Danio rerio: one gene and its partners. The protein of the gene in region 3 binds, or shares a complex with, the protein of the main gene of each other region. Links are inferred from orthologs where the notes say so. Each region holds a gene or a part of one and is shown on either strand. Other genes may lie near its edges. The genes, in order: plxna4, plxna2 and nrp1a.

Evidence for each region.
Region 1: the proteins of nrp1a (region 3) and plxna4 are in contact, whole or in part, in a cryo-EM structure (PDB 7M0R), measured with the Mus musculus proteins. The link is inferred for Danio rerio from reciprocal best matches to the Homo sapiens genes NRP1 and PLXNA4. Residues at the interface, in NP_032763.2 of Mus musculus: Arg80, Tyr84, Asp126, Tyr127, Glu128; in NP_786926.2 of Mus musculus: Glu272, Lys340, Lys343, Lys345, Leu349.
Region 2: the proteins of nrp1a (region 3) and plxna2 are in contact, whole or in part, in a crystal structure (PDB 4GZA), measured with the Mus musculus proteins. The link is inferred for Danio rerio from reciprocal best matches to the Homo sapiens genes NRP1 and PLXNA2. Residues at the interface, in NP_032763.2 of Mus musculus: Glu78, Arg80, Asp81, Lys83, Tyr84, Asp126, Tyr127, Glu128, Thr129; in NP_032908.2 of Mus musculus: Asp273, Leu274, Phe275, Glu306, Lys341, Gly342, Gln343, Lys344, Gln345, His348, Pro350.

The regions. Positions count from the first base shown.
Region 1 is NC_133179.1:15,828,281-15,831,932, reverse strand, and holds part of plxna4 (plexin-A4), read left to right. Parts: intron 1-309; coding exon 310-549; intron 550-637; coding exon 638-784; intron 785-1,243; coding exon 1,244-1,478; intron 1,479-1,619; coding exon 1,620-1,762; intron 1,763-2,956; coding exon 2,957-3,225; intron 3,226-3,652. UniProt on the Homo sapiens protein: Coreceptor for SEMA3A. Necessary for signaling by class 3 semaphorins and subsequent remodeling of the cytoskeleton. Plays a role in axon guidance in the developing nervous system. Class 3 semaphorins bind to a complex composed of a neuropilin and a plexin.
Region 2 is NC_133198.1:36,290,610-36,294,737, reverse strand, and holds the start of plxna2 (plexin-A2), read left to right. Parts: upstream 1-1,187; 5' UTR 1,188-1,420; exon of another isoform or gene 1,421-1,519; intron 1,520-3,858; exon of another isoform or gene 3,859-3,881; 5' UTR 3,882-3,953; intron 3,954-4,128. UniProt on the Homo sapiens protein: Coreceptor for SEMA3A and SEMA6A. Necessary for signaling by SEMA6A and class 3 semaphorins and subsequent remodeling of the cytoskeleton. Plays a role in axon guidance, invasive growth and cell migration.
Region 3 is NC_133199.1:1,384,608-1,388,886, reverse strand, and holds the start of nrp1a (neuropilin-1a isoform 1 precursor), read left to right. Parts: upstream 1-1,346; 5' UTR 1,347-1,728; coding exon 1,729-1,795; intron 1,796-4,015; coding exon 4,016-4,190; intron 4,191-4,279. UniProt on the Homo sapiens protein: Cell-surface receptor involved in the development of the cardiovascular system, in angiogenesis, in the formation of certain neuronal circuits and in organogenesis outside the nervous system. Mediates the chemorepulsant activity of semaphorins.

The DNA of each region.
Region 1 (3,652 bases), on a different chromosome or scaffold from region 3:
AGAGAGATGACAATGTCAACTGCTCTCTCTACAAAGCAAAGATGATGGTAGTAATTCTTTAGTGAGTCACCAGAACGGCAGGTACAGAGTATGGCCTTTTAAAAAGTGCTTGGAATTGTGTAACTTTGAGACAAATAACATCTACATGTACTCCTGCAGCCTCTATTGTAGCAACTCAGGAATGACCAATCAAACCAATCTTAATCTAAAATGTGCATTTATTGTTAATCTAAATCTTAATGTTTTTATTTACTCTAAATTGCACATGGACTGCATATTATTTATTGTACATTCATTTCCCTTTACCAGATATGTCAGGTTTTGAGTCCAACCACTATGCAGTGCATGGCCCCAGAGCTTCCCTACAGTATCAGCAAGCACAAGGATGTTCCAGAAAGACCCGATGAGTTTGGCTTCATCCTGGACAATGTTCAGTCTGTGCTGGCCCTCAACAACACCAACTTTGTATACTACCCAAATCCTGTGTTCGAACCTCTCAGTGTGTCTGGGGTTCAGGAGCTCAAGCCAGGGTCTCCCATCATACTGAAGGTAAACCAAAAGCTCACCAAAATTTGTGCGACATCTCTTTAAATTGTCAGTTTCAGCTATTAGAGATTTTTGTGAATTTTAATTTCAGGGCAGGAACTTCCTACCTCCCACGCCTGGTGGCAATGGGAAGCTCAACTACACTGTTCTGATTGGAGACAAACCTTGTGCATTAACTGTGTCAGATACTCAACTGCTCTGTGAATCACCTAATCTTACTGGACGCCACAAGGTTCTGGTAAGTTGCTGAATGCTGTGGCTCATATCCATTTTTTTTTTTTTTTTTTTTTTTTTTTTTTTGCAGTGAACACATCCTTTAGGGACTGTGTTTATTGTACTTTCTGAGAGGCTGACAGAGAAAAAAAATACCTCCAGAGTAAGAGTTATAAGAGCTGAAAAACCTACTAAACAAGTTTTATGCTTCTCACTGGGAACTCTGGAAGGTTGCCCACTTCACTGCCTGTTTGTTGACAGTCGTAGAACAGTGGCACCATTACAACCATGAACAGAACAGAAAAATCTCCTTCTGCTTATGAACCATTGTTCTTATTATCAGAATGTAACATCAAATAATATTGCATTTCTCCATTGATAAATTTGAATCAGTGAATGATAGCTTAGGTTTAGTAATGCAAGTTTTTGGTACAGCGCTTCATATATTTCATTAAAAAGGTTTACAAAATCTGCTTCATTTTAGGCACGTGTGGGTGGCATTGAGTTTTCTCCAGGTGTGGTCCACATCACCTCTGACAGCCCCCTCAGCAGCACTGCTGTCATCAGCATTGCTGGGGCAGGAGGCCTTCTCATCTTTTTCATCGTCATAGTCTTAATTGCCTACAAGCGCAAGTCCCGTGAGAGTGACCTCACCCTCAAACGCCTGCAGATGCAGATGGACAACCTGGAGTCTAGAGTAGCCCTAGAGTGTAAAGAGGGTAAGTGGTCTCTAGGGGAAGTGGTTTGTCAATTGAGAATATAAGACTTGCTTGAACTTTAAAATTTAATAAGCAATGAAAAATGCTAAATCATTCCTAAACCAAAGCCTATTTGTTCATGGTACTGTGGATTTTTTGCAGCATTCGCTGAGCTGCAAACGGACATTCATGAGTTGACCAGTGATCTGGATGGAGCTGGTATACCATTTCTGGACTATCGCACATATACAATGCGGGTTCTGTTTCCTGGAATCGAGGAGCACCCTGTCCTTAGAGACCTGGAGGTATCCTAACATTTTTTACTGATGTTTTGTGCAATGCTCAATTTGCATTCAAAGAGCCCTTTGCTGAGTTTTTGAGATGTACATGCATATATTTACATATTTCTGTATGCATGTAATTACTGCACATTGTACCTGTGCGAGGAACAGTCACATAATGGCTGCTAAGTATTTTCTTTCTGTTTTTCGGGACTGAAAGACTAACGGCTCAGTGGGGTTGTTGGGAATTAAAGCTGTCACTGTGCTGTTTGTGTTCACCCTCAGTAAACAATAGGCAGCAGCTCTCATTATAATCTACATGCAGTCTTTTTCTCTCTAGCTCACAATTTTTTTTTTAAAGTAATGAGCTGCTCTCTGATTCACAATCAGTCTTTCGTTAATAACAGTAATGACATGTGACACAATTGTTTTGTTTTTTTTCTGAGTGAGGGGAACAGAATTAAAATCTAATGCAGCATACACCATGCTACAGGTTATTTATGCCCTGCAAAGACAGTGATGGACAGTTCTAATTGAATCACACACGTTTCTTCAGCCAGAATACAAACCATACCTTACCTGCTTATTGCAAATGAGCTCTGCTTCTAATCAGCTATATCAATTAAGCCTTAATTGGAATTAACATCCCCTCTCTCTGGAAAAGTTTATAGTAAAATCACAGCTAATGACAGGAGCTGTCTAGAGATTCTGACAGGTATTTAATGGTTATTGATGAGACAGATTGCATCAAATGACACTATGGGGTCTCTGCCTGGTTAAGTGTTTGTCATTTGGAATTCTAGGCATATAATGAATGCATCTTAACCCGGTAAGCAGATGTTATTAGATTCAATTTGAGCTGTTCATCTGCATCCTGATTTGTTTGTCTTTAGGTTTCTTTTTTATTTGTTAAATATATTTGGTCCTCTTCAGTTTAAATGCCTGTGGGTGTTTCATTGGACACTAGCTGGGATTGCCATAGGCTAATTGATAGGGCTGGAAAAAGCTTCCAATACAAATAACCCAAGTTGGAGCCTAAGTGAGCATTCTTAACACGTGACATTGAAGACATTTATTTAGGTCTAAAGATATCTAAAGTCAGCAATGCTAACATTGAATGTATTTATCTGTGAAAAATAAAACGAGACCATTGTGCATTAGGAAAGTTGATGATGTTGGTTTAGATTTGATTGATTGAGTAATTTGTTTTTCCCTCAGGTGCCAGGTTACAGACAGGAGCAGGTGGAGAAGGGGCTAAAACTGTTTGGACAACTTATCAACAACAAGGTTTTCCTGCTGTCTTTCATCCGAACACTGGAGTCTCAGAGAGGCTTCTCCATGCGAGACCGTGGCAATGTCGCCTCCTTGATCATGACCGTTTTGCAAAGTAAACTGGAGTATGCGACCGACGTACTCAAACACCTGTTGTCTGACCTCATTGACAAGAACCTGGAAAGCAAAAACCATCCCAAACTACTGCTAAGAAGGTACTAGACACATTCACATGAAGAGCCATTTCAGTAATCTAGTACTGCAGTCCAGTGGGTTTTACTGATTATAAATGCCCCCCAAGTGAGCGTAATCAACAGAGCACATGTTCTAAATTTTAGGTTCATTTCAATCTGCCTGATTCTAATTATAGTAAACTACATAGATGGGAGCAGATGACCTCTGTGAATTGTCTTTGGTATTAGCACTGTGCAGTACGCTCAATAGGAATAATGGCTCTTGGGGACATTAAAATGCACACTTTCTCTCCCAAACATGAAATGCGCTGACATGCTCATCATTAAATTGTAATTAGAATTAATTAGCTTGAGATCCAATTAACAGTGCACTAAAAACCTACTGAATATAGGGAGATATGTGAAACTCAATTCCCCATGCAATCAACTCCTTTGTATCTCTGTATTC
Region 2 (4,128 bases), on a different chromosome or scaffold from region 3:
TTTACTGCTCTAAAATACTATAAATGTTTCCCAAATTAAAGTATATTGTGTACAAAGGGGCAAAAGGTTTAGATTTTTAAATATTTATAAGGAAAATATTTTTGAGCATTAATCTCAATATCGTATAACTGTGAAATTGTGATATTTTTATCCAAGGTTATCATACCATCAGAATCTTCTACCGGCCCATGCCTATTTGTATGCTGCAGTAATTATAATTTGTTTTTGCGTTCTGGTATTAGCATTTTTCTAAAGTTTTAGTTTCACTATTTGCTTGTTATGAATAATAATTTTACAATGTTATTACATGATGATTTTATGAAGTATTAAAAGCAGAGGTTGTGTTACTGTGTGTTGGAGACCTTAATCTAACAGGCCAATGATATAATAAATCAGTGCAACATTATGAAATAAAATAAATATGTTGCCAAAAATTCTCAGAGGATTCATGTTTTTCTTTATATTTTACCCACTGAAGTCAAGTCAGCTTTGAGTTTATAGTCCATCATAGAATAGACATTGTGTCAGACATTCAACTATTGAGACATGTATGTCATTATCTTGCACGTATCAGAATTTTGTGTTGATTTAATTCAGAAAACGACTTCAGTTTAGATATAATCTAACATGCTAAAGACAGTGACTATTATTATTTATCTCAGGTCAATTCAGTCTTGATTCAGATCAAATCTTGATCTAATCGAATGGCGTCAGTCCATATGCATTAATTCATTTTCTGTTCGGCTTAGCCCCTTTATTAATCCGGGGTCGCCACAGTGTAATAAACCGCCATCTTATCTAGCCTATATTTTAGGCAGCAGATGTCCTTCCAGCCACAACCCAACACTGGGAAACACCCATACACTCTTGCATTCACACACACACACACACACACACACACACACACACACACACACTACGGCCAATTTAGTTCATCCAATTCACCTATAGCGCATGTCTTTGGAGTTGTCGGGAAAACCGGAGGACCTGGAGGAAACCCACATGAACACGGGGAGAACATGCAAACTCCACACAGATATGCCAACTGACCCAGACAGGGCTCAGAGCTCAACTGTCTTGCTGTGAGGCGATTGTGGTACCCTCTGTGACGCCCCTCAGTCCATGTAAAGATTGATAAATTACTTTCTACAAATTAACTATGATTATTCAATGTCAAATCCGCTAGAGAGCGCTGTTATATACGCTACTTTTTGTTTTACATTTTAGAAAACCGTCCTTGAACATGTCCACTTACCATAGTGTTTTTAAAAGCAAATGTAGGAGAAAAGTGCCCTGCAAGCATGTAGTTTTACCTCGAATTTTTTTACATTGCTTTTATTTCGTTTGTGGAATCTCCTTTGCCGGACTCAAACACTAGCTACCAGAAAAAGAGAAGTTGACCATGGAGATGTCAGCTGAGGTAAACATGTTCTATCACTGATCCTGGACACCGTATGCATTTTTTATATTGCGTCTAAGTTGCTTTGGGATTTTTATTTTGAAAGAACTGCTCAAATAGGTCATTTATTAGTTGACAATATGTCCCTGTAAATATCACTAGTGTCAAGACAAGAGGAACAAAAGTTGTTGACGTCGTACTGCCCCCTAGTGTTTATTTGTTTATTTGCAGTTTTTAGCATTTGTTTCCAATGAGCCGGTGTTGCTTAATTTTCTTGGTTGTTTTCGTCCAGAAAAAGAAAAATGAAATCTGTCGTTTTGCTTTACTATCATTTGTTTAAGTTCTGTGAAGATACAAATCAAAAAATTATAATGGTGTATATTTTGCATTAGATTTTTACCAAGCAATCAAAACAACGCTAAATGAAGTTTTATAAAGTTATTTTAGAGAGGAGGACATGATATGATTGATCGCGGCTGGCATCACATTAGTAATCATTGCTAGTCCAATCAAATATCATTGCTAGACCAATCAGAATAATTGTAGCCTTCAATAATTAAGCCCATTCATCCTACCTTCCTCATCTTCGTTTAAGAAGAAACCCCCCATCAACAACAAGTGTTTTTGTCTAAATTTAAAGGGATAATTCACTTAAAAAAAGTCATTTACTCACTCTTGTTTGAGTTTCTTTCTACTGTTCTGCTCAACACTATGAGGTTGACGAACTAAGAAGGCTATAGTGGGTCTCGATGAATGGTAATGCAAGAAAACCTCGGACAAATGATGGCACTATACTCGCTGATGGAAAGTGTGAAGTGATGGGTTATGTACAGTGTACGAGAGTAAAAACCAAGAGTGTTTGTGTGTTTATTTGTTTATTCTTTTATTTATTTATTTAACTAACCAAAGAGTGTTTATTTATTTATTTATTTGTTTGTTTACTTAACCAAACAGTGGTTTTCATCTATTTACTTATTTTTTTGTTTATTTCATTTATTTATTTATTTATTTATTTAAAGAGTGATTTATATTTATTTATTTTTATGCATTCATTTATTCATTACACTTACTTAACCAAAAAGTGTTTTTTATTTTATTAATTTATTATTTTTATTTACTTATATTTATTTATTTACTTAATTAACCAAACAGTGGTTTTCATTTATTGACTTTTTTTGTTTTGTTAAATTCGTTTATTTATTTGTCCAAAGATTGGGTTTCATTTATTTACAGTGCACGAGAGTGAAAACCAGGTTAACGGATGAGTGCGTGAGCGAGTCAGCATGGGCTCTATGCACAACTAGAGTTTTAAAACCAATGATAAACTTCCGGTGAAAGCTTAATATGACTATTTTTAATTTCACAAGGTTGTTTTTACAGCATTAATACATTCAGTTGAATAGACTTTATCATTAGTTTAGTTGTTCAATTGTAAAACGAGACAAAAGACTGTTGTAACCCCTAGCGCCGTCAGTAGCAACAGGCTAGCGCAGAAATTCCATTGAAAACACTGGAGTAAAATAAACTCTCATATTTTAAAGACATGGCGGGGGGGAAATGGAATTTAATACAGTGCTACTTGTCTGATCTGAGACCCACTTCATACATTTTTAAAGAAATCAGATCCTAAACGTGACAGTTTTGCAATAGAAAGACTGACACTTTACTGGCTGAAGTCCATGTGCATATAACCCATTTGTGACTTGTATAATAGTGTGGTTGTACACATATTGTTTGTTTGTTTGCTGATTATTTTGTTCTTTTATTTGTGGTTATTTAGTTACTTTGCTGGGGCTTTGGGTTATTTTGGTTTTCACTCTTGTACACCTTAAAAAACAAAACAAAAAACATCACTTTACACTTTCCATTAGCGAGTACAGTGCCATCAATTTCCTGAGTTTTTCTCGCATAACCATCCATCGAGAACCCACTACAAGTCTTCCTGGTTCGTCAGCCTCACAAACACTGAAGATGATATTATGAAGAATGTTGGAAAGCAGATATCGACTTAGAATTGCTTTATTCCTACTACGGGTGTCAATGACTTCCAACATTCCTCAAAATAACTTCTTACCCAAAATAACTTTTGGGTTTTTAAAAAAGCAAGAAATTCATAAATGTTTGAAACAACTTGAGAATGAATTGAAACGATGAGGAAATGTTTACATTTGGGTGAACCATCCTTTAAAGGTACTAAAATAGGTTAATATTTCAACTTATTTTTGTAAGTTGTACAACCTCATTTACAGTAAGTCAGTTTAAACTTAATGCACGTTTAATTTGAGTACTTAATGTGCTGTTAATTTAGATTCTGGTCAATGTTCAATTCACATTTTCAGTCAACTCTCAGCACAGTTTGTCTAGAAATGGACTAGAAATTATTATTATTATTATTATTATTATTTTACATAGCTGAGACCTATTTTTTCTTAACCAAAATTACAAATGATTAAAAACAGACCTTTGATGAATGGCTCCACAGACAGAGCCTCTGGAGGACGACTGGATTCTGTGTTGAGGAGCAGCAGGTGTAGGAATGCCTGGCCCAACAGTGGTGAGATCTGCTTTCTGCATGAGTAGATTTATTAGGCCATTACTTGGACATCATGGGGTATAACACACACACACACACACACACACCTGGTTGTTCATCTGCCTGTGGCTCAGCGGTGCAGTAGCTCAGTTGGTTTGTACAAGGATCCTGCTGTTTCAGGCTTTAATTGGGAGCG
Region 3 (4,279 bases):
ATGATTTTTATATTAAGTCTATTAAACTTACATGAGACCTTTTTTAATTCAATGTCTGGCTTGATTTGACCTCATGCAACATTGGATGACAGCAAACCCAGCATTTTAATAGTGTGAGCTATGATTTTAACCCTCTGATTGTTTTATATTAATCTGCATGCTTTGTTTTTTTTTCTGTGGAGAGAGGATAGAGTGAGCTGTAGGCGGCATTTTTGGCCGGGGCAGCCTCGCGGAACAGGGCGTGAGATATGGATCATGGAGTCCGCGGTGATCGCAACTTCTCCCGGATTCCTGCGGAATGAAGCCCGCTGTCCGCCTTTCCTCCGGTGCTTTAATATCCACTGCATGAGCAAGTGCGCGGTCATTACTGCAAAATATTAGGCTGACTCTGTACTGCAGGACCCTGTGTTTGTTTCCTCGCGCTGACTGCTTGGTTTAGCGTAAATGACGGATACAATGAGAGTTGCTGAACGCTGAGTGCTGTTCGGAGACGCTGATGTTTATGGATTTGACTGGAGATAACTGGGCGATCGCGGTCACCGGATCGTACTGCATTACTGCTGGATGTAACGGGGGTGACAGCTTGTAGGCAAGTGCTGATTGTTTGTCTGAGCAGGAAGGACTCGGTTGAAGTGACAGGCTTAGTCCGTTTAGCATGAAGAAATATCGATGCGATCAACTTATGTGGAGTCTCACTGCTGCAGTTTGTATTTGTGCACACACTGCAGTGTTAAACATACAAGATTGCAACAGATTTTAATCTTATATATCTTTAAAATGCAGAATGCCTGTCATATATTCATGTTTCGCTTGATATGCATCATGTTAAAGGAAGTTCGGGAGTAAAACACGCCGTGTTAATGCCAATTGTGGTAACATTGCATGCGTTTGCGTGAACATGCATTGGCAAATAATGTAGATACAATTCAGAAGGTGCACATGCTTCAATCCAGATAGTTGATCTAGTAGTTGTTGCAATCTAGTAGTTGTTGCGTGTATTAAACGTTGATGTTACACCGCAATCCCGACATCAAGAGCACTTCCAGAGCGCGCGAGGGCTGGACGGTGTCTCGCGGAGAGCTCGGGGTCTCTGTGCTCTTTTATACGGGAGGTTGGGCTCCATATAGGTCGGGCTTTTGCATATGTGTAATCAAACCAATGAGAATCCCCTGCGCGTCTGGCACACGGCAGAGCAACAAACTCTAGGAAGAAGAGAAGCGTAATTTAGGGGGTGTATCCCTTGTTTAAGACGCTGTTATGGCAAAGCCAATCGCCAGATGTTTGTGTTCCTCACTCCGATTTTGAGACTAAGCAGAACGCCGGGTTACTATACGCGGAGGCTGAATCTCGTATCCAAGCCGCACTTTTTTAGCCAAAGTCTAGCGATCTCTCTTGTCTTTGCGCACAGGATTACTCGTCTATTTCGCGGAACTGCAACGATTTTTTCCCTTTTCTGTCATTCTTTAACAGGGCGAAGGAAATGGCAAAGGAGAGAGGATCGGGTCTGGGAGAGCGCAGAGGAAACCAGAGCTGAATGGCAGGATGCGAGCGACCTGAAGACGCACAAAACCGCACATTTCTACAGCTCTCAGACCCTTTTGCGCGCTCTTTCGGTTTCCTTCTTTACACGCGAGAGGAATTACCCAAATACGACCATCTGAGGATTGTCTCATCGTTTTTTGCCAAATTTGTGTTATTTTTCCGCACTCCGAACTCCAGGATTCGAGGATGCATTGTGGATTAGTGTTGATCCTCTTTACGGGAATCTTTCTCATCGTCAGTGCTCTCAAAAATGGTGAGTGTCGGCTGAAACTGACGGCTGTCTAATGACTTTTTCTTGGGATTAGATGAGGGGTAAAGCCTGTTAACGAGGGGTTGCGACTTCGGGCTGGTCACCTGCTCTCACCTGCCGCCGCTTTCTGGCTCTGGATGACCAGACAAAACCATTTCACAAATCCGCGCTGAGATCCAGCTCGTATTTATAACACCGTACAACAAAACGCGCGGTGTGATTGTGCCCAAAACATGCGTGTATCTGTAATTAACATAGCTATTATTTACAAAATAGTAAATATTATATTTCATCTCATTCATTTGACTTGCTTTATTACATTATGGTTTCTAAATTACGAAATGAGCCTCTATTGTGCATGCGTTTAGATATTTACAAATATTAGACACTCGTATTTTAATGTGTAGGCGACAGTATAGCCTCTTTTTATATTAATACACATCTGCTACTCAGATGTTAAACATTACAATACGTTTAAATTAGTACTCTTAATAAACATTTATAATATAAAGTGCTACATAAAGTCTTGTTTCTCCAAAGTTTAGGGTTTATGATCGTAATCTTAAGAAAAATATCCACATTAAAGCATTAAATATTCCAGTGAATCGTAATAATGCTTGTGTGACTTTATTTTATGATCTACAATTATACATTTTCATTTAGGTTTGAATGTAAATAGGTGTAATAATGTTATTAACTTGTAAAGTTATGCTATTACTGACTAGGCCATTTGTATTCTTCTTCTTATGTTTCTGTTCCTGTATGTAAATCAGATAAAGTGTGTATCTTAATCACGCCTGTCCAGACTAAAAAATCCTGTGGGATTCTAGCAACATTTTCTCGGGTCACTTTAATGTAGACTTGGATACAAGATAGTCGCCAAACCACTTTAGGCACGTGGAATAAGTCATGCATGTTGTGCACTACATTATTAAACTAAATGAATGATTCAATATACCAAATTTGAGTTTTAAAAAGTTGTTATCGATATTATTTCACATTTTGGATTATCAACTTCCATTTCAAAACATCTAAGGATTACTCATTGAAGTATATATACATTTACTCCTGTTGAAATAATGTTACACTTTACCTAATGTAAAACATCTGGATCGCTTATGTATTCTTAATCTAGAAACTTAAAAATCTTGATCTGTTATTTATTTATTTATTTTTTGCTTGCTCCATTTGTCGACAAATTTGCGTTGAAACTGACAAATTTGTTGTCTGAATATGGACTTGGACACAAGGTAGTCGCCAAAGCACTTTAAGCACATGGAATAAATTATGAGTGTTGACCCAATTTAAGCTTTAAAAAGTTGTTATACATACTAACCACCTATTAAAAACCTCTAAGTATTATTCATTAAAAAAATCTAAATTTAATACATTTATAATCCCTGTGAAATGACCTTTTTAACATGTTACACATTACCCAATGTAATGCATCTGGATAATTTAGTTATCCTTATGTATGCTTAACCTAGAAACTCAAATATCTTGATCTGTTTTTATTGCTTGCATCGTTTGTTGATGAATTTACATTGAAATTGACGAATCTGTGGTCTGAATGTGTTCATTTTTATTCTAACAAACAAAAAAGACAACGTGTTTGTGTGTAAACATCTCCATCAGACCCTGAGCCATGCGCTTACTCTGTAAGTTTGTTTGTTGTTGATGGATATGATGAAATTCAGTGTTGATCCGCTGTGGAAGGGACCAAATAAATGAAATATTTAACAGACAAAGGTCACGCTTCCCTCCCACATAATGACATTAAATGTAGGCGCAAATATCAAGCCTTTATTTAGTGCTTAGAAATGGGTCAGAAATGACTAGAGGAGATTGTATCTCAGAGAGTATTTGGAGAGAAACGGCACAGTCATTCTTATGTCAAACCACAATAGTGCTATTGTATGAGGTGTTACAAAATAAACCATTTAGGCAATGTGATGTTGAACATGCACTGTGGGAAATAGATACTAGAAGAAAATCCAGTGTTAAGAGTGTTTAAAAAGCTGTTTTTATTATTGTATGGCTTCACTTTAGGTTGATAAACAAACATAATCATGTGTTGTAGTGAGACTGATTGAACTGAATAATCTTTCTCTTTTAATTCTCCATCATAAGGAAAATACTCCACGTAAGGAAAAGCATTCAGAAAGCAACATGTTGGTATTTTCTTCCAGCATGCGTGATAATGTGTCTTTTCTGTTCTTTCAGACAAATGTGGAGACAATATCAGGATCACTAGTGCCAATTATCTCACATCGCCCGGCTATCCAGTATCTTACTACCCGTCTCAGAAATGCATATGGGTGATTACAGCTCCAGGACCCAACCAGAGGATTTTGATCAACTTCAACCCACACTTTGACCTGGAAGACCGAGAGTGCAAGTGAGTGTTGAGCGTTCAGTATTTTGTGTGGAGCTGCGCCACCTGCTGGTGCTGATGGAGTATATGCAGAACACTCATCTGGTGGGGCA